Lepisosteus oculatus: one gene and its partner. The protein of the gene in region 2 binds, or shares a complex with, the protein of the main gene of each other region. Links are inferred from orthologs where the notes say so. Each region holds a gene or a part of one and is shown on either strand. Other genes may lie near its edges.

What was found.
Region 1: timm50 (region 2) and timm17b share a complex: the UniProt entries of both Homo sapiens proteins name them as parts of the TIM23 complex. The link is inferred for Lepisosteus oculatus from reciprocal best matches to the Homo sapiens genes TIMM50 and TIMM17B.

What each region holds. Positions count from the first base shown.
Region 1 is NC_090697.1:75,080,814-75,095,668, forward strand, and holds the start of timm17b (mitochondrial import inner membrane translocase subunit Tim17-B), read left to right. Parts: upstream 1-8,367; 5' UTR 8,368-8,424; coding exon 8,425-8,450; intron 8,451-9,542; coding exon 9,543-9,642; intron 9,643-10,035; coding exon 10,036-10,099; intron 10,100-11,069; coding exon 11,070-11,198; intron 11,199-12,218; coding exon 12,219-12,329; intron 12,330-12,451; coding exon 12,452-12,540; 3' UTR 12,541-14,855. Other genes in the region: gpkow (G-patch domain and KOW motifs-containing protein), read left to right, coding at 219-347; pqbp1 (polyglutamine-binding protein 1), read right to left, coding at 2,980-3,130, 3,646-3,709, 3,843-3,932, 4,688-4,788, 5,369-5,480, 6,144-6,210. UniProt on the Homo sapiens protein: Essential component of the TIM23 complex, a complex that mediates the translocation of transit peptide-containing proteins across the mitochondrial inner membrane.
Region 2 is NC_090698.1:2,305,211-2,320,266, forward strand, and holds the start of timm50 (mitochondrial import inner membrane translocase subunit TIM50), read left to right. Parts: upstream 1-7,965; 5' UTR 7,966-8,016; coding exon 8,017-8,232; intron 8,233-9,281; coding exon 9,282-9,444; intron 9,445-10,139; coding exon 10,140-10,171; intron 10,172-14,818; coding exon 14,819-14,840; intron 14,841-15,056. Other genes in the region: supt5h (transcription elongation factor SPT5), read left to right, coding at 789-891, 2,005-2,132, 2,402-2,510, 2,614-2,772, 3,694-3,862, 4,404-4,607, 4,951-5,046, 5,653-5,793. UniProt on the Homo sapiens protein: Essential component of the TIM23 complex, a complex that mediates the translocation of transit peptide-containing proteins across the mitochondrial inner membrane. Has some phosphatase activity in vitro; however such activity may not be relevant in vivo.

The DNA of each region.
Region 1 (14,855 bases), on a different chromosome or scaffold from region 2:
AGCAACATGAGCAGAAGAGCCTCTTCTCGTTTGTAACCCTTTCATGTTCTTGCTGCAGTGGTTTTGAGTGTTATTTGTAGAGTCAGCATTCAAACCGTTAATGGTATTTTGAGTCTGGTTTATGTACGTTCCTACTTGGAGCGCTGTGCTCCGAAGGGGGATCCCGAGGAGCGTGCTGGCCCGTTGTAATCTGTGGGGGGGGGGGGGGTGTGTCACAGGTGGGCCATATTCTCCAGCGGGACAAGGAGAAGTGCAGGGCGCTGGTTCAGCTGGAGAGGTACGAGGAGCAGGTCTTCAAGCTGGACTACGATGCCATCTGCCATTACGTGGGAGGAACGGATGTGTGACCTTGACATGACCAACCCCCTGCCCACACTTCCTCCGCCACCTCCTTCGCACCAGGGACCAGCGGGGTAGGGAGAGAGCAGGCAGGGGGGGGCGGAGCTGAGACTCTGCAAGAGTGAACTGACAGCAGACCTGCCATGTGGAGGAAGACTGGGGTGAGGCAGTGCTCACAGTGTGTTCCCCTGGTGGGTGTGCCGCTGGTGTAAAAGCCAGGCAGGCAGGCTCTGCAGGGAGACAGAGCACAGATCCTCGTGTACATAAAGTAGTCCAAGCCGCTCTGGACCTCACTGACTGGCCGGAACTGTTACGTTCACACTCACAGAGCTGAAAACTCTGCCCCAGGCTGCGTCATCACCTACGAGGGAGACGGATCACCCCACTGTGGGTGAGCTGCCCGAGTCTCTGGTAACTGACTGCAGGGTTACATCTGACACTCCCGGATTGCACCAGAAAGCCCTGGAACGTCGTTGGAGAGCTTACTGTGCAAGAGGACCTCGGGGAAGTGTCAGGTTTCAGGAGGGCGTACAAGGTGGATATAATGTACAGTTTGTTTTTAAAAGTTTTTTTTTTTAATGGTAACTTGTGAAAGTACATGTATCATACATATATAAACGAAGTCTTCAAGAATTAATCAAGCTTCCTGCGATTTTCCCTGACTATTGTGTTAACCCACCTGAGTAGTGGAGTGGGGGGGGGGATTTTCTAAAACAGGCAAAAGCTGGGAGAAAGAGAAGAGATGGACAGCATGACCGGCCGGCAACTTTAACATGGTGTTTTATTGGAAATCACGCAGAGCTGTGTTCCAGGGCAGAGTAAGACAGCTGGTAAGGTTTACAGTCACTATAAGAACTGTGAGAAGATAACGCCACACTCCTGAACCAATGATGTAGCCCAGGCTGACCCCTTCCCCACAGCTGGGCTCTTCACAACCCCAACTACTGATTGGCTACAGCGGAGGAGCTCTTGGGGTGCTGCCGATTTAAGGGGACGTGGAAACCCGGGGGCCTGTGGCTCTTCAGAACTGGAGCGGGGCTACGGGTGATGTAGACACTGTAGAAAAACAAATTCTCCCTCCTGCTGCAGGGAGTCTGGGTGACAGACTGAGCAGCTGTGTACAGGAGAGGACCCAGTGTCTTAACCTAGATGCAAGTACTGCCCACGGGAAGGGTACAGGATCTGGGATCAGAACCGAGCCTCCTTACTCATGTGTTGTTTTACACCTTCTCTTCAGACTGCAGGTGACCCTCTAGGAATGCAGAAGATATTATTATAGAAAAGATCAGTCTGCAGTTCGTTTTCAGTAAAAGAGGCTCTGTTAATATATTTATATATTACTGGTTGAAGAAATGGATTTTGCAGCTCCTGAGTATCCAATGTTTTAAAATAAAAAGTGTAATGTTTTAAACTTTTTAATTTGGACTTGTCCAATACTTTTTTTTTTTTACTCCTTAATTTCAAATGGCCACATAGAATTACCAATCTATTTTTTCAGTAGATAATGGAAACACTTATCTTGTGTATTTTACTGTAACCCTGTGTTCAAAGTGTTGTCTTCTGTGCGTGAGATGTGCTCATTACACACCTTGAGATGAGAGCTTTGCTGTTAAACGTTAGGAGAGCTTCTCCCTTTTCTGAAACGCACAAATTAAAGACACTGAGCATAAAAAATGTATAATTTAATCACGTGGCCAATCAATGTCTCATTTAGTGGCTATGCATATAGACACTGGCTATATCAGTCATGAATAATCATTTAATTAATAGGACACCAAAAATATTTAATCCGTATCCAAAATCTGAATACTTTATTTTTCTACAAAACAAACATAAATAAGCGATGTGTCTTCTGAAGTGTATATTCAACACACCTAACTCAGAGATTTGATCATTCTTTAAAAATTATCAAAATAGAAAAGAATATACAGCAAACAGTACAGGGTTTGTATCTTAAGCCGAGCCAATTGCATCCAAGTATAATTTGCGGATCACATTAAATTGCTAGTCACACATTTTAAGATGATACACGCATTTGGTTAGGGGGTGTTTAGCGTAAATCCTAGATTACCAGCCTGCTAACCAAGGGTGTCTCCTGGGACACAGATTCCCAGATCCTGCTTCTCATTTCTTCTTCCTAAATGAATCTTGCTCTAAGCAGGACTCATGTAGGGTGCAGACAGGATTCAGCTGCCCCCTTGATGAAGGTCCAGGGCCCAGCGGGGAGCCCCTCACACAGACGCAGACAAACCCGAGAGCATGCAGAGTACCCCACCGGGACACTCGCTCCTGACGGGCTGTGTGGCAAAGCTCTCCTGCAGGCAGGCAGGCTCCTGGATGCAGGGAGGCTCTGAAGGGGAGCTTTACCAGAGGCACCGTCCCGATTATCATCTTTGTTGTTACGACGGTATGGATGGGGTATTTTCAAAAACACACCAACGAGAAAACGGTGGACAGAATGACCAGCGGAGAGCCTGCATTCTGCAGAGCAGTGACAGCTGATCCAACGCTGTGTGGAATTAGTTCAGTTAACCAATAAAAAACCAGGAAGCAGAAACCCGGGCAGACGCACTCCCCGCGGGGTTGTCGCGGTGCAGGGCAGCTCACTCCTTGGCCCGGGTGGCCTCGGCGCAGGGCAGCTCACTCCTTGGCCCGGGTGGCCTCGGCGTTGGCGCGGAGCACGGCGCCCGGGCTGGGGTACGGCCTCTGCTGGAACAGGGGGCCGGCGGCCGTGGTGTCGGCCCCCGTCTTCGCCTCGTTCCGCTTGGGCAGGCCGGTCGACCACGTGCCCCTGCAGGAGAGAGACGGGGGGAGGTCCTGGTGAACGGGCAGTGAGGGAGGTACAGAGGGGGGTCCTGGTGAACGGGCAGTGAGGGAGGTACAGAGGGGGGTCCTGGTGAACGGGCAGTGAGGGAGGTGCAGGGGGGGAGGTCCTGGTGAACGGGCAGTGAGGGAGGTACAGAGGGGGGTCCTGGTGAACGGGCAGTGAGGGAGGTGCAGGGGGGGGTCCTGGTGAACGGGCAGTGAGGGAGGTGCAGGGGGGGGTCCTGGTGAACGGGCAGTGAGGGAGGTGCAGGGGGGGGTCCTGGTGAACGGGCAGTGAGGGAGGTGCAGGGGGGGGTCCTGGTGAACGGGCAGTGAGGGAGGTACAGGGGGGGGTCCTGGTGAATGGGCAGTGAGGGAGGTACAGAGGGGGAGTCCTGGTGAACGGGCAGTGAGGGAGGTGCAGGGGGGGAGAGAGGGGGAGGTCCTGGTGAATGGGCAGTGAGGGAGGTGCAGGGGGAGGAGGGAGGCGGGGTCACTCACCTGGGGGCATCTGAGTAAGCACTGGGGTCCATGGGATCCATCTCCTCGTCCTTCCGCTCTCTCCCTGCAGACACAGGAGAAACATCCTCTCAGATACAGTGGGAGGTGGGAGAGCTCCCCATTCCCACTCAACAGGTGCAGCTCTGGACTGTTACTCTCCACACTCCACACTCTCCCCACTGCCTGTGTGTCCGTACCTCTCTTCAACTTGCTGTAGGGGGCGATGTCCTCCCTGCGGTGCTGCCTCTTCTCTCTAACCTCCTCCCATTCCACCCTCTCCTCGACCTCTGCAGGGAACAACAGAACAGGATTTGGAGACATAGCGAGAGGCACCTGGCTCTCCACAGCCCCACCCTCCAGCCCAGGCCCCGCCCCTGGGGCCATGAGTGACACCTGGCTCTCCACAGCCCCACCCTCCAGCCCAGGCCCCACCCCTAGGGCCATGAGTGACACCTGGCTCTCCAGAGCCCCACCCTCCAGCCCAGGCCCCGCCCCTAGGGCCATGAGTGACACCTGGCTCTCCACAGCCCCGCCCTCCAGCCCAAGCCCCGCCCCTAGGGCCATGAGTGACACCTGGCTCTCCACAGCCCCGCCCTCCAGCCCAAGCCCCGCCCCTGGGGCCATGAGTGACACCTGGCTCTCCACAGCCCCACCCTCCAGCCCAAGCCCTGCCCCTGGGACCATGAGAGACAGCTGTCTCTCCACAGCCCCGCCCTCCAGCCCAAGCCCCGCCCCTGGAGCCATGAGAGACTGCTGGCTCTCCACAGCCCCGCCCTCCAGCCCAAGCCCCGCCCCTGGGGACATGAGAGACTGCTGGCTCTCCACAGCCTCGCCCTCCAGCAGGGGGCGACCCACTGGCGCTCCAGGCCAGCACCCGATCGATTCCTTTCACAGCTCTGCTGGTTAGTGGACACTAGCGAGGAAAAGAAGCCACACTGTAAAGAGTAAAGCACGACAGCAAACCCAACCCCCTCCCCCGGCGCGTGTGCGATGGGAGAGCAGGCCTGCGACTTGCTGTCTGACTGTAGCTCTGCGGCGGTACCTTTGAGCTTCTTGGCCGCTTTGGAGATGACGGCATTGGGGTCGTTGGGGGACAGCCAGGACACCAGGTCAGTTTCCACATTCCAGTAATACGGCAGACCGCTGCGGGGCGGCAGAGAAAGCGTTTCAAGAGATAATTACTACTGCTTGGGCTGACGCTCTTATCCAAGGTGGCCCACATGTGTACCCATGAGTCTTTGACCAGAGCAGTGTGGGTGAAGAGCCTTGCTCAAGGGCACAGCAGCCTGGGATTTGAACCCAGGACCCCGCCCCCGAACCCCAGGCTGAAGGCCCGACAGCGGAGGAAGAGAGGGAAGCAGAGGACTCTGGGAAGGACCGAGAGGCAGTAAGAGATGGAGACTGCTGGCTGGGGCAGGCAATTCCACTCCCTCCGGTTTTCACCCCAGGCCGGAACGTCCTTGCTTTACTGACTGAACTAAGTATTTGGCCTGTTTTGTTTTCCTTCAGTTTGCCGATTAAAAGAGCCTCTAAATCCCACAGGAGCCCAGATCCTCGAGGACTGGGATCGCGTATCCCCGCTGCGGGGGGTCCGGAAGAGAGAAGGTGACGGAGAAGAGGTTTCTACATCAGAAGGGATGTTGTGTTTTTACGTCTAGCCAGCCCAATCCGCAGCTGGGCTGGGCGAGGGCGGTGAACTGGTGACGAGGGGCGGACTCCTCACCAGGCAGGGTCGAACACCTTGTACCAGCTGGGCGGCAGGTTCTCCACGCGGGTGGCCTCGTAATCCACGTTGTTGTCGTCGTAGTCCTCGGCGATGATCTCCTCCTCGGCCTCTGGAGGGAAGACGACAGAGGACCGTGAGAAAGCAGGGAAACACCTGGCCGCACACCTGTCCACCTGGAATGTCAGCTCCTAGACAGCGCGCTTGTCCCGGCAGCATGTTCTTGGAGTGGGCTCGCCTACACAGGCTCTGCTTTCAATCTTTAATGATTAAAATATTAGCATCTGATAATTATACATCCGTGCCTGGACTAGCCAGTAGCACTGTAAAGCAGACTGTGCTGTATCGTACAAAGAACTGTGTGCTGGGCTGCGCTTTACTGTATAGCCATGTTCATATTCAGATATGCGATAAGATCCAAAATTTGCAGCGCTGTGTTAATATCCAGGCTGGGCTGGGCTGTGTTAATATCCAGGCTGGGCTGGGCTGGGCTGTGTTGGGCTGCGCTGGTCTGTGCTGTGTTGTATTGTGTTAATATCAATGCTGGGCTGGGCTGTGTTGTGTTAATATCCAGGCAGGCTGGGCTGCGCCAGGCTGTGTTAATATCTAGGTTGGGTTGTGTTGTGTTAATATCTAGGCTGGGCTGTGTTGGGTTGTGTTAATATCCAGGCAGGTTGTGCTGCGCTGGGCTGTGTTGGGTTTTGTTCATATCCAGACAGGTTGTGCTGCGCTGGGCTGTGTTGTATTAATATCCAGGCTGGGCTGGGAGACTCACCATGCTCCGTCTGTTTAAGAATTCCTCTCTTGGCCAGACGAGCCAGTAAGGCAGGAGGGAGGGGCATCCTTGATCCTGGGACATACAGGACACAATCAGCACACAGCACTGTACCGTATAATACTGTACCTAGAACTACACAGCCCTGTACTGTATAATACTGTACCCAGAACTACACAGTCCTGTACTGTATAATACTGTACCAAGAGAACTACACAGCCCTGTACCGTATAATACTGTACTGAGAGAACTACACAGCCCTGTACCGTATAATACTGTATTGAGAGAACTACACAGCCCTGTACTGTATAATACTGTATTGAGAGAACTACACAGCACTGCACTATATAATACTGTACTGAGAGAACACAGCCCTGTACCGTATAATACTGTATTGAGAGAACTACACAGCACTGCACTATATAATACTGTACCGAGAGAACTACACAGCCCCGTACCGTATAATACTGTACTGAGAGAACTACAGCACTGCACTATATAATACTGTACTGAGAGAACTACACAGCCCTGTACTGTATAATACTGTACTGAGAGAACTACACAGCCCTGTACTGTATAATACTGTACCGAGAACTACACAGCCCTGTACTGTATAATACTGTACCGAGAACTACACAGCCCTGTACCGTATAATACTGTATTGAGAGAACTACAGCACTGCACTATATAATACTGTACCGAGAGAACTACACAGCCCTGTACTGTATAATACTGTACCGAGAGAACTACACAGCCCTGTACTGTATAATACTGTACCGAGAGAACTACACAGCACTGCACTATATAACACTGTACTGAGAGAACTACAGTCTGCACACAGCACTGTACACCTCTACACAGAGAGAAAGACACTGTGCGAAGGAGCTGCCTAATTTCATCAAGGGTTACTCTGCTATAAGGCCTCAGAGGTGGTTTTCCCACTTTGAACACTGAAAGCACTTCTGCATCGTGTGCACAGAGAGCGGGTCGTGGGAGAGTGACTGCACAGCCATATTGCCGGACCCCAGCGCCGCGGCTCTTTCCGAGAGGCGGCTGGAGCGGTTAGCTGCTAGCCCCTGGAAGAGCTACAGGAGACGACCGCGTCCGCCCGTCACCTATATGGCGCGTCTGTCTAACAATCTGGATGTGCCGCTCACGACAGCAGCCTGCTTACCTTTGAGTACCGCGCACAAACCAGTCAGGCGGACCAGCGACACCACCTCTGAATCTCCAACCCCCTTTTTATCTCAAATATACAGCACACCTCCGTTTTCCGACTCGCGGTGCCCTCTTATCCAACACATGCGCTTCTAACCCGCACTGATGTTCACACAGGCTTGATTTTAATAATGTAATCTCCAATTTCTCGCCGCAAATTAAGACACCGGCCACAGGCAAGCGACGACAATGTCGCGTAAGTGACGTGTCACACAGACGCGCGCGCATACGCATTCACGTGACGAACGTTCAGTCGCCAAGGTGATAAAAAGGCACGAGAAGATTACGTCATTGAGGTTGTGTAGTCGGATCGCCATCTTAGTGGAGTGCAGAGAATACTTGATAGCATAACGAGTCTTTTCTTGAAAACCGTTTAAATCTTAAGCCATCAGCTGGTGTAATAAGGTTAAAACATTTTCTGATAAACTTTCTGTTATTAAAGGAACAAATAACAGGTTTATTCCATGCTGAAAAGAGAAGAGAGAAAACAACGTTTCGGCTGTGAAGCCTTCTGCAGATGTTAGTGATATTTGGTTTCTTGTGCTCATTATCTGCATTTACATCATATAAAGCATATTGATAGATGTCCACTCAAACAGATCAACCACCTGTCATATTAACGACAGGTTCGTGCAGTCTCCTCGCATTGCTGCTATTGCATAGTGGGCTGTATCCGTTTTATAGATTTTGATGTGTCTACTAAATAACACAAAGACAAGTTGTATATATAATGCATTCACCGCTACAGTGGTACATTAATATTGTACATGTTTTATATCCCAGCTCCTGAAATTCAGTTTATAAAATTTCTACAGACCCATATTGTTTCCTATGGAGCGTCTAGAACATTGCGCTGCGATTTCTACTTGCCTAACGAGGACTGAATTTCAAGCTCTACTAATATGGCCGCCTGCTGCGCATACAACTGAGCCAGACGTGGAAACGTTCTATATTTTCAACAATGAGGGGCTGTGCACTCCTGTCACATGACACGTGCTTTCTTCGCTTGCCCTTGCCGGCTTCGTACGTCATCAGCCCCCAGTGTTGTGTTTGTGTGGTTAAGATGGAGGAGTACGCTCGAGAGCCCTGGTAATGTACAGCCCAGTGGAGAGCTAGCTTTTAAAATGCTGCAGGAGATAATAAAAACGTTTTTAGCTTCGTGTTTTATGACCTTTTTAATACCGAGTCTATTTGGCTTTTAGCCACACGAAATGTTTGTTTTTACTCATGTCAAGTTGAGCTTGTTTAGTTATGTAACTGAACGATAGTCCTAATCTATATAATACCGATTTGGCTGCTTGGAAATATCAGGTCAAATCTCAAATAAACTTCAGTATTCTTCACGCAGGTTGTTTAAAAAATCGTTGACGTATTACGTGTTTCACGACCTTTTGTGAACAGTAATAGTTGCTGCGTTTCAAATGTTTTCCTTACAGTTTCTCTTCGACCTGTAGTATCAGGGTTTCGTCTGTGTTTTGAATACGCGGATAGGCTGTATACGTTATTGATCTTAATTTTATTAACAATTGTGCGGTGCGTACGTTTGCAAAACACAGTGCAGGATTGACAGTAGTGTATTTCAGTGTGATTTGCTTTTGGTTATTTTTAAACACTTCGCTGATGTGTTCTTACTGTAAAATATGTTGATTTTGTCGGTTGTGGTTTTCTGTGATTGACTAGTATTCCTTCCAGGATTTGTGTGTGTGTCCTGTGTTGGACTGGTGTCCTGTCCGGGGTGGGTGTGTCTCCTGTGAGGGACTGGTGTCCTGTCCGGGGTGTGTGTGTCTCCTGTGAGGGACTGGTGTCCTGTCCAGGGTGTAGTGTAGCCGAGCCCTATAGTTCTGGAATAGGCTCTGAGTTTCCATGGCCCCTACTAGGATTACGAGACTTTGGGATACTGGTTGGATGGGTTGTTAATAGCTCTTTTTTATTTCTCCCCATATTTCTCTCATCCTTTTCTTTCCTCCATCTCTTAATCTGTCCTTCGACTCTGCCCTTCTCCCTCTCCATCTCCCTCTCCCTGCCCTTCTCCCTCTCGTTCCCCTGCCCTCCCTCTCTTTCCGATCTCCCTTTTCCTTCCCAACGTTCCTCCTCTTCTCCCCTGGCCTTCCACTCCCTGTCCCTCTTCTTCCCTGTAACACTCCCTGATCCCCCCTCCGCCCCCTCTGTCTCCCTCTGCAGTCCGTGGAGGATAGTGGATGACTGTGGGGGGGCATTCACGATGGGGGCAATAGGAGGGGGCATCTTTCAGGCCGTCAAAGGCTTCCGCAACGCCCCTGTGGTGAGTAGAGGAAGACTCTCACCTGCTCTGCACGGTGGAGCTCATTTAACTGTTTAACAGCTGCTCCAGGAAAGAGCTTCAATTTAACTGTCTTCGGTTGTCAGGTAGGATTGCCGTTAACTCTCCAGGACCACAGCAGCCTGTTCTGGCTTTTCTCTGAGCGCTGCTGTTCATACTGCGTGCCAGTCCTTGTCCAGCACCTCAGCAGATAACCGCTGGGCGAGGAGAAAGTGCTGTACGAGCACTGCACTGCAGTCAGAGCTTCCACTGTTCTTGCGGTGCATATACACAGTGTTTCTGAGATCAAGGCCACGGGGGACTCCCAGTACGGTACCGTGTGGTCTTGTCTCTGAGGGGAAACCGCAGCTAACAGAGAGGCGTTTCTCTGTGCAGGGCATGCGACACAGGCTGAGGGGCAGCGCCAAAGCCGTCAGAATCCGGGCGCCCCAAATCGGAGGTGAGTGTCACCCCTCAGTCTGCTTTACGCAGCTGCGGTTAGGCTGTTTCTGGTTTCTGGTTTTTATAACACACTGTTATATGCAGAGATCTGGCACACTAAGAGCTGCAACACAGAGACACGATAAACACGCGCTGTCAACATTTGTGATGTATGCACCTTAAATTTCTAAATTCCTATTCATTAACTCAATATATTAATAAAAACCAAGCACGACAGTGCCCGTGTGTGTGTGACCATTGTGTATTGAGTAGCCTATCAAGATAGCTGGTGCTGTTTTGCAGACTTTAAAGACAGGACGTTTCTCACATCACTATGTCTCTACTATGGCCTGTAGTAACATAACTGTCCACAAGGGGTCCTCAGACCACAAGTTGTGAGCTGGTGCATTCAGGACTTTAGATCATGGGGTTTCAGGTCTGTATAGTACTGTATTTAATATTAATTGATTTGTAAATTACAAGGTGAGATGTTCACCTTCAGATACCAGAATATCCTGGTAAGATATTCAGTTTTTTTCTAGATTTTGTGCACAATTGTATAAAGTACGTACTTTTCAGGTCACGCACAGTGTAATACACAGTATTAAAGTTACGCTATGGTACAAAAAGTAGGCCATTCTCACACAAGTCTATAATACAACACAACGCAAAACATTATACAAAAAAGCGAAACAAATCACGATAAAGACAGTTCAAACAAATGAGATGCATTTTTGCAGTATAGCGAAGCAGGTTTATTGTGCTGTCTCTTTGCATGTGTGAAGCATGACAGAGCATATCAAACTCCAGTCTATCAGTGCACCTTTGCCCCCAGTTAAGGAAGACGTGCAGACTCCCCCGCCAGTGTCTGCTGTTGGCTTGCAATACGCTAGCCCCCTGTGAAACTTGAAGGTTTCCTGTGACCTGCTCAGTGAGCCGCTCCGGGGTGACGCCCTGCGGTGTGTGTGTGTGTGTGTGTGTCTTGCCAGGCAGCTTCGCGGTGTGGGGCGGGCTCTTCTCCACGATCGACTGCAGCCTGGTGAAGCTGCGGGGCAAGGAGGACCCCTGGAACTCCATCACCAGCGGCGCCATGACGGGGGCCGTGCTGGCCGCACGCAGTGAGTGACCGCGCCGCCGCGCCAGCAGCACGGGGACACCAGGCACCAGGCACCAGGCACCAGTCAGCCAGCTCGCCGGGAAAAGCAGTCGGCTAGCTCGCCGGGAAAAGCAGTCGGCTAGCTCGCCGGGAAAAGCAGTCGGCTAGCTCGCCGGGAAAAGCAGTCGGCTAGCTCGCCGGGAAAAGCAGTCGGCTAGCTCGCCGGGAAAGGCAGTCGGCTAGCTCGCCGGGAAAGGCAGTCGGCTAGCTCGCCGGGAAAGGCAGTCGGCTAGCTCGCCGGGAAAGGCAGTCGGCTAGCTCGCCGGGAAAGGCAGTCGGCTAGCTCGCCGGGAAAGGCAGTCGGCTAGCTCGCCGGGAAAGGCAGTCGGCTAGCTCGCCGGGAAAGGCAGTCGGCTAGCTCGCCGGGAAAGGCAGTCGGCTAGCTCGCCGGGAAAGGCAGTCGGCTAGCTCGCCGGGAAAGGCAGTCGGCTAGCTCGCCGGGAAAGGCAGTCGGCTAGCTCGCCGGGAAAGGCAGTCGGCTAGCTCGCCGGGAAAGGCAGTCGGCTAGCTCGCCGGGAAAAGCAGTCGGCTAGCTCGCCGGGAAAAGCAGTCGGCTAGCTCGCCGGGAAAAGCAGTCGGCTAGCTCGCCGGGAAAAGCAGTCGGCTAGCTCGCCGGGAAGACACTCCCCGGAACAACTAGTCAACTAGCTCACCATAAAATGCAAAAAAACAGTGCAGCTGGTAAACTAGGTCACCTTAAAACATTCACCAGGAAAATTAGTAAATTAGCTCGCCATAAAACACTCAGCAGGAAAAACAAGTTAACTAGGTTTGAGATCTTTTAAGTCCTTAGGTTCTTGAGCAGAATGTGCTCCAGAGGTCGAATCAGTGGCCAGTTAACCAGACACGTCTGTCTGTTTCATAAGGGGACGAGTTTCAGATCCACCCTGTCCCGCAGCCCGGTCACTATGCAGTGAGCCCCTGTGCCAGGCAGCAAGGCTGACATCTTTTTGTGTTTGTGTGTGTGTGTGTCCTCTCTCAGGCGGCCCGCTGGCCATGGTGGGCTCAGCCATGATGGGAGGGGTCCTTCTGGCTCTGATTGAGGGCTTCGGCATCCTGCTCACCAGATACACCGCCCAGCAGTTCCAGAACCGTGAGTACCCCCCCCCTGCCCAACTCCGCCTGCTCGCTCGCTCGCATCGAGAGTTTCCTGCTCGTCGTGGGAGAGCCGGTGCCATCTCACGCTCGGCGCTTGCCTGTGTGTCTCTCCTGCAGCGAGCCCGTTCGTCGAAGACCCAAGCCAGCTTCCCCCGAAGGACCCGAGCCAGCAGCAGGGGTACCGCGGGTTTGGACAGTACCAGTAGGGCCGAGAACCGGACCTTGGGCAGCAGGCACTCTCACTGTGACCCGGGTAGACAGACCAACAGGAGGAGAGAGGGAGAGACAGACGGCCAGGAAGCTGCTCTGGGACACTGGCAGGGCCTTCCCCCAGAGCACGCTGGGAGATTCCCTTTACAGGCCTGAAACAGTGTCGCACGCAGGGAGGGAATTTAGACTTGGAGCAGAACAAATCAGATTCGGATCGATCCCCGCTCTCTGAGAAACAAAAGACAAACTGTCAGGCTTCGCATCTCCATCGCTTAGATTCTGCGTTTCTATGCCTTTTGGATAAACTGCAAGTTGAAGAGGCCTGTCAGAGGGCCTGGAAAAGCTCGTTTTGGACTCTGGGAGTAAGAAAAATAACCGGAGCAGAACTCGATCCCGTTTGCACGCCCGGAGTTCGCTCTTCTGAGCGTGAACGCACCACTCGCGCGTAGCGAGAGTGCGCTGGCGTTTCGCCCGGCTGGCGCTGTTCCTACGCAGCGCTTGTGCCCCGCCGCAGCCCGCCGCAGCCCGTGAAGCGGTCCGGTCTGGTCCTGCACCGTGAGTCACGGGCCGTGAGGGGGCAGGACCAGCCGAACAAGCGGTCGGAGTGCGGTTGGTGCTGCAGGCCCGGGCCTGGAGGTTGAGCAGCCCTGCTTTTCAGCCTGCAGCCCACAGGTCCAGGTGCGTCGAACCCAGGACAGTCATTAATATCTACATATGTATGAAGAAGCACGTGTTAAATTGGTGCTACTGGGGGTTAATGAGAACCCCATACTGAAAGCGCAGTTCCTACTGTCAGTACTGCAACTCAGGGGTCATGTCAGATTTGGGACTGTTGATCCTGCTTTATTTTTCATACCTGCATGCACTTGTCCCAGCAGGCTGTACTGTCTCGCTCCTGATGGGCTGTTCTGAAAGTCTGTGCTCTCTCTCCTGATAGGTTTTCCCCACAGTCTGTGCTCTGTCTCCTGTCGATCTGTCCTGAGAGTCTCTGCTCTCTCTTTCTTCATGATCTGTCCCGACAGGCTCTGCTCTCTCTCTCTCTCTCTCGACAGGCTGTGCTCTCTCCCTCTCCCTCTCCCGATCCCGATCCCGACGGGCTGTCCCGACAGGCTCTGCTCTCTCTCTTTCTCTCTCTCTCTCCTGACGGGCTCTGCTCTCTCTCTCCCGACAGGCTGTGCTCTCTCTCTCCTGACGGGCTGTCCCAACAGGCTATGCTGTGTTCTCTCTCTGTCCTCCAGCTCTGCTGTTTACAGCCCACAGTGGACACAACACCAGTCACAAAGTGGCTGTGCCTCTGTGGCAGGAGGAGCAGTAGGGCTCTTTAACTGACAACCTTGAGACAGTAGCACTAACACATATGCAGCAGCAGAGGCTGTTTAAGCAGACAGTTTGGGAAACGGGATGAAAAATGGCATTTTTGCAGAATAAACAAAAATTGCAAATAGTTCACATGGGGTTTCAGGGGGATTTTTTTACCTTGTGGCGAAGTGATTCACAGCCCCATCTGCATCCTGGCACTGAGCTGCCTAGCAGGGAACTGATAAGGGTGGCGTTGACAGGCAGGCCCCTCGAGGCCCTGCGCTCCAGCTGAAACACTCGACACCCGCGTCATAGACAGGGACACGTCTGTCACTGCCTTCCCCACAGCTCCACAGAGAGGAGACGGTTTTTTATTTTTGCCTCTGCCGTGCAGCACCACGCGTACGAAGCTAGGCCGAGTGAGCCACCTCACGGTTGCAAGTGCTGGTCGGTGTTTTTTACAGGGATCAAAAGCCGTGTGTAAGCTAAGACCCGCCAGCAGGTGGAGCTGTAAGCCCCGATCTGCTTCCCTGGAGAGGACGGTGAGGATGGCGTTGCCCGGCCTGGTCCTCAGGAGCGCCTGGGTCTCTTCGTTTTCCGTTTTGAACCCAGCCCTTCAGCGGAGGGTCGAGACGGGAGACTGGAGGGGAAGTTCACATGGTGCATTTCTGAGGCACCACAGAGCTGGGGGTATCCTGGAGCACAGCTGGCCGTCTGGGACCTGCAGTTCACAGAGTCGGTGCTGTTTGTCCCCAATTTCCTGTCCCCTCCTTTATCCCCAAGGCTAGCGTGTAGCTCAGTTATAGGTGAGACAGGCGTGGAAAGGGAAACGGCGTTGATTTCACAGGACTGTGCTGCATTATGAAGCCTCCATTTTGAAAAGAATGTAATAGCTGCACTGAAAAGAGAGAGCATGACGTTTTGATTGATTAATCAATCAACTAAATACAGTTACAGCACTTGCAAGAAAGGACGTCCAGCATTGATGTTTTTTAAGCTCATTTCAATTAGC
Region 2 (15,056 bases):
TTTTGTGGCCTAACAGCCTGAAATAAAGACACAAATCAGAATTTTATCTGACCTTTAATTTACACGTTGTAACACCCAACCGTAAGGTGAAAAATAAGTGTGTAGACTTTCTGTAAGCACTCTATATGTGGAGTCTTATCTGTAGAGGTCTCAACATGCTAAATATTTTGCGTTGTGATTCCCCTCATTAATAAGGGCATGATATTTGCCCACAGGCCTCCTATCTTGCAGGATCTCAAGGACCTATGAATTCTCAGGGTTATGTCATTTGTTGTCTTTGCCAACATTATACTTGTCAGTAGTGGTGCCCAGTGTTCTAATTTAATTTTGTACATGAGGAATAGGCAGTGATTGCCAGGACCATGATTTTATGGTGTAAACCTGGAAAAAACACTCATTCTGCCACATCTGCCAGTGATTACATTGGGTTGTAGTGCTCCTGGCTTAACTGCAAAGAATTGTATAAATATTTTGATCCTTAGTTAAGATGTCTGGGAAACATCAGACCAGTAGAAGTTCATAAAAATATTCTGTTCAGTTAAAAACCACTTCTCTTCCGTTTCACAGCAATATTTTATACTTTATTTTTCTGAAACACTGTTAAAAATGCTCTTCTAACTTTTACTGTGAATACCATACACTTAAATACATCCTCTGTTCTTGACCCTGAATGAATAAAAGACTTTGTTGTGCAAACTCTCTGTGGCTGCCTGGCAGTGGCTCTCCTGTCGGGGGGTCGCAGGTCTCTTGTGGGCCAGACAATTTGAGCTCTCGCTCCTTTTTCCCAGGGTACATTGGAGTAGTAAAAGACGCCACAGAATCGACGGCTCGTGTGGAGCTGCATTCCACTTGTCAGACCATCTCCGTGGATCGGCAGCGTCTGACCACTGTGTAAGTGCCTTTGGAATGAGAGGCAGTGTGAAGGGGGGGGCGTCTGTCCAGTGGTTAGGGTACAGGGCTTGTGAAGGGGGCCTGTCGGTCCAGTGGTTAGGGTACAGGGCTTGTGAAGGGGGGGGCGTCTGTCCAGTGGTTAGGGTACAGGGCTTGTGAAGGGGGGCCTGTCGGTCCAGTGGTTAGGGTACAGGGCTTGTGAAGGGGGGCCTGTCGGTCCAGTGGTTAGGGTACAGGGCTTGTGAAGGGGGGCTGTCGGTCCAGTGGTTAGGGTACAGGGCTTGTGAAGGGGGGCTGTCGGTCCAGTGGTTAGGGTACAGGGGTTGTGAAGGGGGGCTGTCGGTCCAGTGGTTAGGGTACAGGGCTTGTGAAGGGGGGCTGTCGGTCCAGTGGTTAGGGTACAGGGGTTGTGAAGGGGGGCGTCGGTCCAGTGGTTATGGGTACAGGGGTTGCTATCATAAGGTTCCCAGTTGAAGCTCCGGGTCTTCCTCAGACCAGGCATTACAGTCAGTTACTGAGTCTCTGTGTGTGGATGGAATGTCAGACTGAAGTGCTCTTGTCAGTGACTGGGCTGATGCCGTATTTCATTCTGTAATCTCTTTGGATGAAACCCTCAGCTACATGAGCAAAATATGAGTTCAGCTGTTATTACTTTAATCTGCTCTGCCAGGGGTTAGTTAATCAACATCTGACCACACTGGAGTGGATGAGAGGAACCAGCTTTTAACAGTTCGAGCAGCGCGCGAACAACGTTTTCTCTCGTTGTGTGGTCTGTTGGGAAACGCAGGAAAACGGATTTTCCCTGCACATCCCTCTTCCTCCTCAGGAGTAGTTTGCCAGAATAATTTCAGAGGAAAGAGAAACAGATGTTCTTTTGAACTTTGGGCAAAAAAAGAGGGGGAGTCGGCAGGGTGGTGTGCGTTGGGGCGCGTCTCCCCACTTGAATTCTGGTTCTCCACTGCAGCTGACTAGAACTGAAAGACCTGTCACCTGACTGTTTACTGCACCGCCCAAACACGGCCTGCCTGCCGCTCTGTCTCACCCTTTTGTGTGGACATTTGTGAGGTTTTTTTTGTCTGACCTTTGACTTGTCTGTTTTGGGGGGATTCACAGGGGAGCAAGGAGGCATGGAGGAATGACTTCCACACATGGGCGCACCCCCATGTACGGCTCCCAGACCCCCATGTACGGGACAGGCTCCCGAACCCCCATGTACGGGTCTCAGACGCCGCTGCACGACGGTAAGACCTCACCCGATCCCGATCCCATCACTCGATCCCGATCCTGATCCCGATCCCAGCCTTCTCTTGCTCTCCTGAGCGTTGGGGTTACAGCACACTGTCCAAGGGACTTGGTAATGATCCAGTCTTGAGCGCTCACAAAACTTGATCTTTCTGTTTCATGAAAAACATAGCATCTCCTCTTTCTCCAGATCTGGGTTCCACACTTTTTGTAGGCTCATGGATCAGGATCTGATTGGACTCTTTTGCCTTTGCCTTTAATACTGCAGCTGGGAACCGCACCCCCCACTATGGCTCACAGACCCCGCTGCATGATGGGAGCAGGACCCCAGGACAGAGCGGAGCTTGGGACCCCAACAATCCCAACACTCCCTCAAGGTAAGGCGCGCCCCCCCCCCTTCTCCCCCAGGGGCTGGCTGTCGTAGTTCAGTCTGATCACACGCCATGGGGTCCCTGGTCTCACCCCGTTTTCTCTTCACAGGGCTGACGAGGACTACGAGTTCGGATACGACGACGAGCCCTCTCCTTCTCCGCAGGGTTATGGGGGCACACCCAATCCGCAGACGCCTGGTTACCCTGAGGTGCCCTCTCCTCAGGTCAACCCCCAGTACAACCCACAAACACCGGGCACCCCTGCCATGTGAGTGACAACACCCCAATCCACCCATGGGCGCTCACTGCTCGCTGCCAGGGCACAGGGGCCTGCAGGGGTCCTGACGTTGCCAGCTTGTACCCACTGTTCCGCAGAATTCGGCACACAGCATGGGTCTTCATACCCGAGTAATCTCCACATCCTGAATTTGTTATCCTGAAGTATGAGGATACACAATGGGAATGCATGTGTGTTCTGTTTAGCATCAGTTCTGATTTTAGAAGAGCAGCTAGGTTAGCTGACAGGAGCGCTGTTGTTCCGTGGACAGGCCAGTGAGGGTATTGGAAGGTCCGCCCGCTTGCTGGCAGTGTGGTCGAAGGCAGCCTATCTGCCGGAGCAGTCTCCTGGAGATTGAGATGTTATCCCTCAATCCCTTCTGAGTCAGCACACTAGTCCAGGAAAGGAGGTGCAAGCCAAGGCGTTGAAAGAGTGTGTGGGTGAAGTCGTGGGTCGATCTGTCGGTGCTGTCCCACTCCTCTGACAGGCCTGACGCTGGACAGGCCGCAGTGAGCGCTGCGCTCATGTTCAAGCCAGCTGGAGGAGCTCGTGGAGACATGATGACATGGGAGCGAAGGACAAAGCTCTTGAGCCAACAGTTGATTTTTTTCTTGCAAGTCCGTCCAGTGTTGCTTTTCCTCCAGAACAATGCACAACCATCGGGTGCTACGATTACAATAGAAGGCTGCTGTGGAAAACGGTGAGGGGGTTTTGACTGGAACAGGTCTCCTGTCAGACCACCGGGGTCATGTTTTGTCTTGAAAGTGCGTGATGAGCGTGGTGTCTCAGCGGGGTGTTCTCCTGATATGCTAGTAACTCCACCAGCACAAACAGAAAAACGCTGCATCGGTATATCGAGAGCACTGTATGACGCACGTCGTGTTAACTACTTCCCTTGTCCTTGTTCCGCAGGTACAACACAGACCAATACTCCCCCTATGCTGCGCCCTCTCCGCAGGGCTCCTATCAGCCCAGTCCCAGCCCACAGAGCTACCACCAGGTGGCGCCCAGTCCTGTGGGTTACCAGAACACACACTCTCCTGCCAGCTACCACCCCACCCCTTCGCCCATGGCGTACCAGGTAACATCTTCCTCTTCCTCACTGTGAAAGATTACAGCTCGTCTCTCCACAGTACTGTTACCACATCGCCAGCCATGTCCCTACACTTCCCTGAGCATCAGTGGGTGCTTTCCTCAGTGTACTGTGGATGATATGTGGAATAACATCAGGAACCCATCCCTCCCTATAGGGGGGGTGTGAGCCAACACACTGTTGGTGTATAATTTTCTGTATCGTGAAAAGTTCTAGTGACTTCAAACCTATCTTCAAACTTCCGTGATGGCTGCAGTTAAGAAACAAGGAGACCAAAAAATAAAGCTGATAAAAGAAATTGATCAAGTCAGGTTTTGCGAGGTGAAATACTTGTGGTTGAAACACTGAGCTTGATTAACTGATTTTATTAGATTTTTTGGGTGATTGCTTAAAATATCTAAAATATTTTTTTGCATTTAAATTAAATCCAGTAAACTGTATTTACATATTAATCTCTGAAAGGTGTTGTAGAGAGATGAATTTAAACTGCCGATATCTACCATGCTGACTGTTTGGGTCCCCCTCCCAGGCCAGTCCGAGCCCCAGCCCGGTAGGCTACAGTCCCATGACCCCAGGAGCGCCCTCTCCTGGTGGGTATAACCCCCACACCCCTGGCTCCAGCATCGACCAGACGTCCTGCGACTGGGTCACCACTGACATCCTCGTGCGTGTCCGGGACTCCTTCCTGGACACCCAGGTGGTCAACCAGACCGGCGTGATCCGCAGTGTGACGGTGAGTGACCGCAGCCCTGCCGCTGGGGAGGTTCAGAGACTCTTAAACTCTCTGACCTTGACGCCCCACTGTGTTGGAGTCGTCTGACCGGAGTTTTTCCGACCTGGCTGCCTGAGGGTTGTTGCTGTGTGGATGGTTCTGCGGTGCGCTCGTACTTTCCTGTGCACGGCGTGGTGCTCCTCCCCGTGAGCCGTCCTAATCTGTCACACTTGCACACGCTTAGTTGTTGCCTCCTCCGAGCGGATGTCTCATGGGGGATCCCCCCAGGTCCACGGGGGAGCTGGGGGTGGCGTCTCTGGTCTGCTGTCCAGTCAATGGGCTCTGCGTGTCTTGTGTCCCACAGGGCGGGATGTGTTCCGTGTACCTGCAGGACACTGAGAAGGTGGTCAGCATCTCCAGCGAGCACCTGGAACCCGTGACGCCCACCAAGAACAACAAGGTATTGTCGGCTCCTGCCTGGAGCAGCTGTACCTGCCAGTGACGCTAAATCACTGTGCGGAGTGAGGCTTCCTGTCCTGACACTCACTGCTTTTAAAGCATGAAAAAAATAAAATGTGTCTCCTCTTTGTTCAGTACTTCGTTTGGGACACGGCAAGGTTTTCTAAAAGCCTTACCCTATAGTGCCCCCATGTGTTTTGGAAGGAGAAGTACACCCCCACATGCAATGTCAGTGTCTGCAGTAACAGGTTTTAATTGTAGCTGACATCTGTTTAATGGGTAACAGTGTTTGTCTGTGGATTCTGTGGGATTCAGCTCTTGTTGGACCCACTTCATGGCTGGACTCGGCTGGAGATCGGCTTTCCAGGGTGAATGTGAAATGTCTCTGTGTTGCTCAAGTCCCTGGTTAGAAGGATTGAATAACCTGAGGCCCTTTCAGGGTTCAGTCACACTGGGCCTGGAGAGGCACTGGGTCTCATTTTCCTGCCAGGCCAGATGAATGGAGGGCTGCAGGATCAGAGCTCTCCGGCGCCGGTGTTAGAGCCAGTTCGCACGTCCCCACCTCCAGCTGTGGCCAACGACGTGAGCTGTGTGTGTCCCCCTGCAGGTGAAAGTGATCCTGGGAGAGGACCGGGAGGCCACAGGCGTCCTGCTGAGCATTGATGGAGAGGACGGGATTGTGAGGATGGAGCTGGATGAGCAGCTCAAGATCCTCAATCTGCGCTTCTTGGGCAAACTGGAGGTGTGACCCATCCCTCCCAGCTTGAGCTCCGCGCATCCATCCCACTGAAGTTAGAGGAATGTAAAAAAACCATGCTTTTCCGTGGCGTAGCGTTACTTTTTGTACTTTCTTCGTCCTCCTGCTGTGGTGAGGCTGTGCGTATGTCACCTTTTTGAAGAGATGGAGAGTAATTCCGAGTAATTCCTAATTTGAGGAGAAGATTTTTTTTTCCTTTTTTTTTTAAACCTGCTGGAGACAGATTTTGGAGTGGCACGCTGCTCTGATTGTGCAGTGTGGAACTTAGGACTTATTTTCTGCTTTGTTTTTGTTTGTTTTTTTAGGCCATGAAATTCCACAATAAAAACGGCAATGGAGAAGATGTTGGGCTGAGTGGCTTGTTTTCACTCTCAAATTTAAAAAGTGTGCATCTTTGATGTTGTGTGTTCTTCACTGTGATCGTACCTTTGAGTGTTTTCAGTGCTTCTCTCTTGTTGCAGCAGGTTTCACCAGTTCCTGGCCCACTGCTCCCTGCTAAACAGTTACATATATGGGCAACAGATGAATTATCATTTCTTTTTAATCACCTTCTACATACAGTATTATTGTAGTATAATTATTTCAGACAATTACCAGGTAAATCTGTTGCAATTTACCTTATTAACAAGCAGTTAATTTATTACCTTGATGGTTGGATATGGTCATGCACAATTTTAATGCCGATTTAGTCACAGGCGTTTTTAAAGACATGCAGTGCATAAGGAATTGTCCAGACTCCCAACATACCTGTTCAGGCAATCGAACAGGAAAAGCACACTGGGCAAGAGTGGAGTGGTGGCTCTGTGGCTCAGGATCTGCACCTGTGGCTGGAAGGTTGCTGGTTCAAATCCCGTGGCCGGCAGAGGAATCCTACTTTCTTGGGAACCTGAGCAAGGCCCTTAACCCCAACTGCTCCAGGGGTGCCGTATAAATGGCTGACCCTGCGCTCTGACCCCAAGCTTCTCTCCCTGTCTCATGGAGAGCAAGCTGGGGTATGCAAAAGACAAATTCCTAATACAAGATAAAGTAAATAAAGCCAAGATAAAGCCAATAAAGTGATCTTATCAAAACGCAAAAGCAATCGCAGTGTTGCTGATCTGGGCCCCGTCTCTCCGGAAACCCGTCATTATAAACCTGGCACGGAGTTCTCGGACCTGCAGGGATCACTCGGTGACGTACCGCCCGGGACAGTGCTGGAAACTCGCCTCACGCCGCTGACCCCGTGACCCCCCTTCAGACACCAGACTAACCGTCCCGCAGGCGGGGGCGATCTCACACAGCGTTTGGTTCTCAGTTCATCTGGGGGGGGTCTGCAAAGCAGAACGAGGATCCAGTAGTAACCACAGCACAAAAAGAGATGAGAAAAGAGAGGCTGGCAGGTCCACAGTACATTTAACCACCTAAGCTGTAATTAAGCTGTAAGAAGATTCTGGATGTGTGCAGCAACACTCGGAGATCCTCTTCCACTCTCCTTTGAATGTTCTGCAACTGCAAACAATATCCCGGTGGAAGGTATCGGAAAAAAAGAATTACTCTGTTTCTGAAAATGTCTTTGAAATTCCAGACTTCTTCAAAAACAAGAGTAGTTGTTTTTTTACCGATAGACGTCTGGAAATGTCAAATCTCTTGAAAAGACCGGCGGTGTTGAAAGATGCCTTGTATCAGCTGCACCTTGGAGATGCAGTGTCTGATTGGATTTAAAATAGGTCAGTCGCAGCCAACAGTAATCCAAAAACTGCAGACTCGTAGGGGTTAGATATATTGAGATTTTTACGTGAGAAAATGTTTTCACAAACCTAACGTACTAAGAATCAAATTTGAAGTATAAGAATCCATCAAGTTATTGTTTTAATTTCTCTACTTGAAAACAAACGTTTTAAATTTTGATTTACGAGGTCAATGGCTATTAACGTAGAATCAGACCTCGCTCCAGCGAATTCGCCTTGTAAGAAGATTAATAGACTCGTTGACGTCACTCTACGTCTTTGGGGCGTGTGCCCTCACAGAGCATGGCCGCTTTGGCGCTTCTCGCGAAGGTCAGCGATTCCTACTTTTTGATTGGGCGCAACCTTTCGAGACACACCTTCAAAGGCGGGTCCTTCATCGTTCAATTTCCTATTGGGGCGTGCCCTTGTCAATCAAATCCCCCCCGTCCAATCACCACAATTTGTCCTTTACACTCGCGTCATTGCGACCGGTTGTGCTCCATTCAAGATGTCGGCGGGGTATGTATACAACGTGTGTGTCCGGACGAGCCGGGGCCTCTTGCGACTGGGACCCGGGATCAGAGCCGGTCCAGGAGCTGCGGTACCTGCCGGGATCCGGGCGATGCACTCTGACCGGCCGGCCGGCAGAGAGGACAGCGGTACCGGTGGGCTGGCTCAGGCCATCCTGCAGGACCGACTCCAGCAGCAGCAGCTCAAGAGCCAGGTCTGTGCACAGCCGCGGTTCTGTCTGTCTGTCTGGTTTCCACCTGTTGGAGGGAAAGACACGGTATACTGCAGGCGAGTACAGGCGAAATTTACACTTTTGTCAAGTCCATAGGAAGACGTATCTCTACATGTCGGCCTGCGATGGTGGTAAGTGGGTTCGCTGCTTTTGAAGCGAGTCAGCTGCCTGTCAGTGTCGGTGCTGCCACTGCCCCGCAGGTCAGATGTTCCCCAAGAATTTTCTTAATAATAATAATGATGATGATGATAATAGTGACGCGACGCTTTGGAACTGAGCTGTTACAGCGAGGCCGTCGTGGGCGACGTAACCTTGTCCGGGGAAAGACACCTTTTACCTTGAAAGAGCTGCTCTTTTAAATGACCGTTGCCGTTCATTTAGGTATATTCAAGAATATATCTAAATCTCCGTTTTGAAACCGAACTGGGTTTTTAAATCTTGCAAAGAAGGCAAGTCTGTTGTTGTTGTTTTTTTTTACTCCAAACGGGTGTGTCTCGATCACAGAGAGTAAACGCGTTGATGGTAAGCTAACGCGAATCGCCTGTTAGCGGGACAGGGGGGTCACGTCTAGTTTCCAGCGTCGGTGTAGTGAGTGAAGCCTGAGTTTTTTGCTCTGATGTGGTTTCCTGTTGTGACTGGTGGCTGGTGAGGTCGGGTAGATGGACTGCTAGTAGTAACCTTCCCGGCTCGTTCTCCCCTGGCGTCACTGTAGACTTTCGTAATGAAACACATGTCACGCTGTAGACGCATGTGCAACAATCCCCAAGTGGCTGAGGCTCACAAACTTCCTTACTGGTTAAAACTTAAAGAACAGTTACAAGCAGGAGGAGGCCGTTTGGCCCTTAAGCCTGGGTGCCGGCTTTGGCAATGTGACTGGGTACTTGTTCCAGACCCCTGCCGCCCTTTGTGTAAAGAAGTGCGTCCAGCTCTCGGCTGTGAGGGCGGTTTGCTGTCTTGCCGCGCTGGTGAGGGCATGGCTGGGCGCGAGATATCAGTGCAGAGCTCTGACTCCCCTGTGTGGGTGTTTTCAGGGGGAGCCGGCCGGCGACGCAGAGGGGCAGGGGCAGCAGGGGCAGCAGGACCGGGGCGATGAGAGGAAGCAGAAGGAGAACACGGCCTACGCCAAGAAGATCGTGCTGAGGCTGGCCGGCGTGCTGGCGCTGGGCGGCTCCGTCGGCGTGGTGTACCTCTTCGGTGAGTGGACCGCTCAGGGCGGGGCCGTCTGCCCACCCAAAGCCCTGCCCTCAAGCAGCTTGGATCCTTTGGGATTCCTGTCCGCTGGTATTGACAAGCCAGGACTTGGGCCTGGAGTCCCCACCTGGAGCAGCACTAGACCTGAGGGCCAGAGAGTGACTGGCGGGGGGCGGCTGAGGGGACCCACACTGGCCCCTGAGAGCTCCAGTTTCGTGGGATTCATGGGTCACTCCTTAAATCAGGGGACCCCCAACTCTGGTGCAAGGGAAAGTTTTATTTTAACCTCTGGAGCAGGTGATTGGTTTCATAAAGTAGTTTAGCTACCATCTGAAAGGAAAATGCCGAAAGCCTGTAGCTCCTTGGGTTTCACGCCTAAATCGAACCCGTTCCTTGACTGAGCTGGTGCCAACTCCCTTGTGGTCCGAGTCTTGACAGCCTGCTGATCGAAGAGCGGTCTGTAAGGCCTGGATCGGATCGGAACGGGACGACCCCGGGGCTAGAGGTGGTCTTTTTCTTATCTGTCAGTGTCCTGCCCCAGAGCAGCGAGAGCAGCTCTTTATTCCCAGGGATCCATCTGGGGCAGCTGGTGATCTTTCCAGACATTGATTCTGCAAATAATCAGAAGAAATATTTAGCTCAAGATCTGCTCCCTCCGGTTCCTGATGGGTGAAACTTTTTTTCTCTTTCTCCTGCAGGCAGCAGTTCTATGGATGAACAAGGGAACAAGGTACAGTCTGTTTCCTCTACAGGGCCGGAATGGGTAATATTCAGCTTCTAGCAGCTCAGAGAAGCAGGTCACTACAGGCTGGGGGGAATAAGAGTTTTCTTCAGTACTGGCACTCTGTTTTCAAGGGGATCTGCAAGGCTGTTTTTACACCTTGGTGTTATAGTGATAAGTGCATTTCAAACCACAATGAAACTACCAAATACACAGAAACGTACAACCTGCAATTTCAATCACCAAAGAGACAAAATTTCAACATATCTGCAGCTCCATATTAATTAATTAATTGCTTACACTTATATAGCGCTTTTCTGGACACTCCACTCAAAGCGCTTTACAGGTAATGGGGATCCCCTCCACCACCACCAGTGTGCAGCCCCACCTGGATGATGCACCAGTCCGCTCCCCACACACCAGCTCTCAGTGGGGAGGAGAACAGAGTGATGAAATCAGTTGAGAGAGGGGGATTATTAGGAGGCCATGATTGGTGAGGGCCAAGGGGAAATTTGCCCAGGACAGCGGGGTTACACCCCTACTCTTTTCAAGAAATGCCTGGGATTTTAATACAAAAGCAGGCCTATTGCACTGTGAACATGCTTCAGACCAAGTCAGTTTTGCTACCATAGTAATAGTAAAAATTCTGATGAATCTGACACGTACAAGGCAACACATTTTTAGGTGCTTTTAAGTTTTGCTTAAACGGTGGCGAGGCGCTTTGCGACAACATGGCAACCATACAGTCCTTTCACAAAGCCCATGTTTTTACACTTCATTCAGAATCTGTCAACTGTTGCGATACTGTAAATGAGTTTATTTTGTTGCCAAGGTTTAATTACCGGTCTGAGAAATTGGGACTGCAGTTCCCCTTTAAAACAGTAATTCAGTAGTTTGCTAGAAGATCTTCTCAACTTCAAGCAAAGGCGAATGCAAGTTCAGGGCTGTAGACTAACAAGTGTGCTTTTATGCAGTTACTAAACTGGGTGGTTTATTTCAAATGCAGACTTCCAGTAAGCAGGGGTGATCGGTGAAGTCTGTCAGGTGCCAAATTGAGTTTGTCACTTTCTTGGGGACCGTATGATAACCATATGGGTAAACTTTCTGTTACCTAAAACAGACATCACCGGATCCGAGATGTGGATTTCTGTAAAAGTTATTGTTCATTCTCATGCACATTTCGCACAGCTGTACCAATATGAATCAGTGCCATACATATGTGCAAATACTGGTCACATTTAATGTGATGGAAAAGAAATGTTATGTTCCACATTTCCGAGTAGCATGACTCCTGAGAGGGTTGTTCTAGAAAATCAGATTTAGAGTGTGGCCTTTAACTGCCGAATTCCTGATATGCAAGCTCAGTGCTTCTCAGTCCTGGTCCTGGAGTCCTCCTGTCTGCTGCTTCTGTGGAGAACTGGGGGTATTTCCTGCCGGTTGGTCTTGTCTGGTAACGTGATCCAGGCTGCATTGTGAGTGAGGAGTGGGGGTCCACTTCAAAGAGCACACTTCTGGCCCAGGTGTGAACCTGGAGTGTGCTGGGAGCTCACTTCAAAGAGCACACTTCTGCTGCAGGTGTGAACCTGGAGTGTGCTGGGAGTCCACTTCAAAGAGTGCACTTCTGGCCCAGGTGTGAACCTGGAGTGTGCTGGGAGTCCACTTCAAAGAGCGCACTTCTGGCCCAGGTGTGAACCTGGAGTGTGCTGGGAGCTCACTTCAAAGAGCGCACTGCTGGCCCAGGTGTGAACCTGGAGTGTGCTGGGAGCTCACTTCAAAGAGCACACTTCTGGCCCAGGTGTGAACCTGGAGTGTGCTGGGAGCTCACTTCAAAGAGCACACTTCTGGCCCAGGTGTGAACCTGGAGTGTGCTGGGAGTCCACTTCAAAGAGAGCACTTCTGGCCCAGGTGCGAGTGTGGGTGTGGCGTGGAGAGTGCTGGTGTGTTGAGGAGGAGGTGAGTGGTTGCTCACGTGAGCTCAGGGGTGTGCAGACGCTCGGTCTTGGCTGGGGAGATGGGGTGTGCCGTCATTCACTGCAAGAGAGCTTGCAGTTTTGGTGTGTAAACACTTGAGGAGAACAGTAGGTGCAGGGTAGTGTACTTGGTGTAGCTCTGTGCATCCTGCGGTGAACGTGTCCAGCCCAGAGCCGTGCTCTAGTGTTGTTGAGGCCTGGGTGCTGTGACAGTCCCGTCCTCTGGAACGATCGGGGCGCACTGCCCCCCCCCACCGCACCTGGATGACAGCCCTGTGCCCGGAGGTGTGCCGGTTTCCCGTGGGAACTGGAGTGGCCCCAGCCTCCCTCTCTGCAGCTTGGTGCGAGGCTGTTAAGTGGGCTGGCAGGTTCCTGGACACCCCCTTCACATACAGGCGTCAATGCCTGTGATGCTGCTGCTAAATACCTGTTGGCACTCGGATCTGTGAGCTCACGCCCCCCGAGGCAGGCTGGGGAGAGCCCTGGAGCCGCAGCGGAGGAGCTCTCGGCCTGCTTCTGTCCGATTCTCTGAAAAACATCCGGTTATCCCGGCTTCTTTTAAAAAGGAAGTTCTTCCGTGAATTACATGAACTATCTTGAGTCGCTTTTAAGTATGGCAATGCATTCTCGGGTTTTTTTAAAACTTTTTATTTGATGATGGAAGGATTTACAGGTAGAACATATAAAGCACAGCTAAACACACTTAAAGTAATCTACTGCGTTTGTCTTTCATTTTACAATTATATTTTGTGTTTTATGTCATTACCTATTTATATGAAGTTAATGTAAACAGGAGGTTATGAGTGGAAATGCAGTCGGCAAAAACATAACCAGCTATCAACACAAAACAATGACTTCATCCTCTTCACAGAGCAGAACCGGGTCTCAATGGGCCCACAAACTCAATCCAGGTGTGCTGGTATTGGCTAAACCTCTCGCCTATAACCCAAGAGTGATGGTGATCTTTTCCATGATGTAAAATTCCTTTACAAAACTGATCCACTGTTGAGATGCTGGGGTTCATTCTCTTGTGGTTTTTTAACTGTCTGCTAAAATAATCTTCCTTTTACTTTCTGAGATTATTTTGAAGGCACTATGTGAAATGAAGCCTTCCAGAATCGGTTTGATGGAACATTTGACCCTTTTCTGGCTTCTAAGTAAATCTTGGACAGGATTAGAGTGTTGCCTTTTTAGATAATTATTTGTTTGGCTAGTAGATCACTAAAAAATAAAGACTTATTCTGTTTAATTCCAATACACCTCCGATCCAGCTCTTAAAACGTTTCGATTTAAGGTTAATCGTTTTCCACAACGCGGTGTAATGTTGTAGGTGACCACCAGAGGTCAGTGTTCTTGTTGAGGTGAAGGAGGCTCAGTGGGAGACGGGCGGCTGTCAACCGTAAAAAGCGTGTTTGTGATATTAGGTGCAGTAAAGGGAGAAGCCAAAACTTTAATATCAAAAACTAAAAATACTTATGGTAACAGATACTGACTTGCTGCATTTTTTATTGCTCAGATTGCACAGTTTGGGCATTGCAATGCGTTTTATTTTCTATGGAAGAAGTTTTCACCTTATTTGCGCAAATTACTAATTGGCCCCTTTGAGCTTATAATTGACAGCTTTGATTCTGTGGGTGCGTGCGTTGCCTTTGGGAACTGCAGGCAAGGCCTCTGAGATACCAAGAGGTCCGCCTGACAGACAGCTGCGCTGCTCAGTAGTAACCACAAGAGGGCGTCTTGTTGACGTCTAAAATCTAAATTATGAGCAAGTAAAGGTTTATTCCATGCTGGAAAGACAAGAAAAAAGAACAACGTTTTGGCTGTGGAGCCTTCTTTTGGTTGTTTCTTTTCTCTGGAATAAACCTTTACTTCTTCCTTTGCAGCCGATTCCTTTGCAGTATACGCCGATACCTAGTTGAACTAAATCCAAATTACACTAGTCTTTTTTTTAAAAAAGTTTTGTATAAATCCTTTTCTACCACATTGACTGTACCGTGATGGCGATTTGCATGGTGTCCATGCATAGTGCACATTTGCACATTTTATTCAGCTTGTAATTGTGAATATTGCGATCATTTACAGCCCATCAGTGCTAATTTCCTTGTCCTGCTGTCGAATCAGGGGAGCCAGTTCAGTCTCTTTGGGGCACAAAACCAGAGAGATTAGAGAATGATTGAATCGGCTAGTAGATAAGTAAAAAAAGGAGATATTTGGTTTAATCCAGCACACCTCTGTTTCAGTTTACGGGCTCTTTAAATGGGGTCGGACCCCAACATGAGGAGAGGCAGCTGCAGGATCAGTGAAGCCCACAGTCGGTAGTGGTGTTGCCGCGAGCACGATGTTGGTGTTTGCCCTGCTGTAGGGACCGGGGTAATTCGGCCCGCAGTCAGTCCCCCTGTGGGAAAACAGAACTGGGGAGGATGTCAATGTGGTTGGGGGTCCCAGAGCGGGCAGGGTGGGTAAGCGGGCCCCCCTCTCCCCAGTTCCCACGCTGTACAGCTTGTGGCTGTTTGGGAACCCCTCCTCACCACCACCAGCTCGAGGGGGGCTCAGGCCTGCTGGCAGATGTATCTGAATTATTCATCTGTTTGGCAGATTAATTTAATGTGTAATTGAGCGGATCGGACTCGCTCACCCTCTCTCTCTCTCTCTCTCTCTCTCTCTCTCTCTCTCCTCTCTGTTTCAGATTCCAGATGAGTTCGACGGTGGTAAGTGTGACTGATTCTGTTCCTGATTGTTTTTTCTGTTTTCTGTTCTCCGGGGGGGGGTATTCCTGATCATATCAGAGTGAGAGGAGTGATGCCTGTGAGGAGAGCAACACAAAACCAGGGGGTATGCATTTAAAACCAACAAGGCCCTTCTTTACACAAAGTGTTGTGGGGGCATGGAACAAGCTGTCCACCCTTGTTGTCAAAGCTGATGCT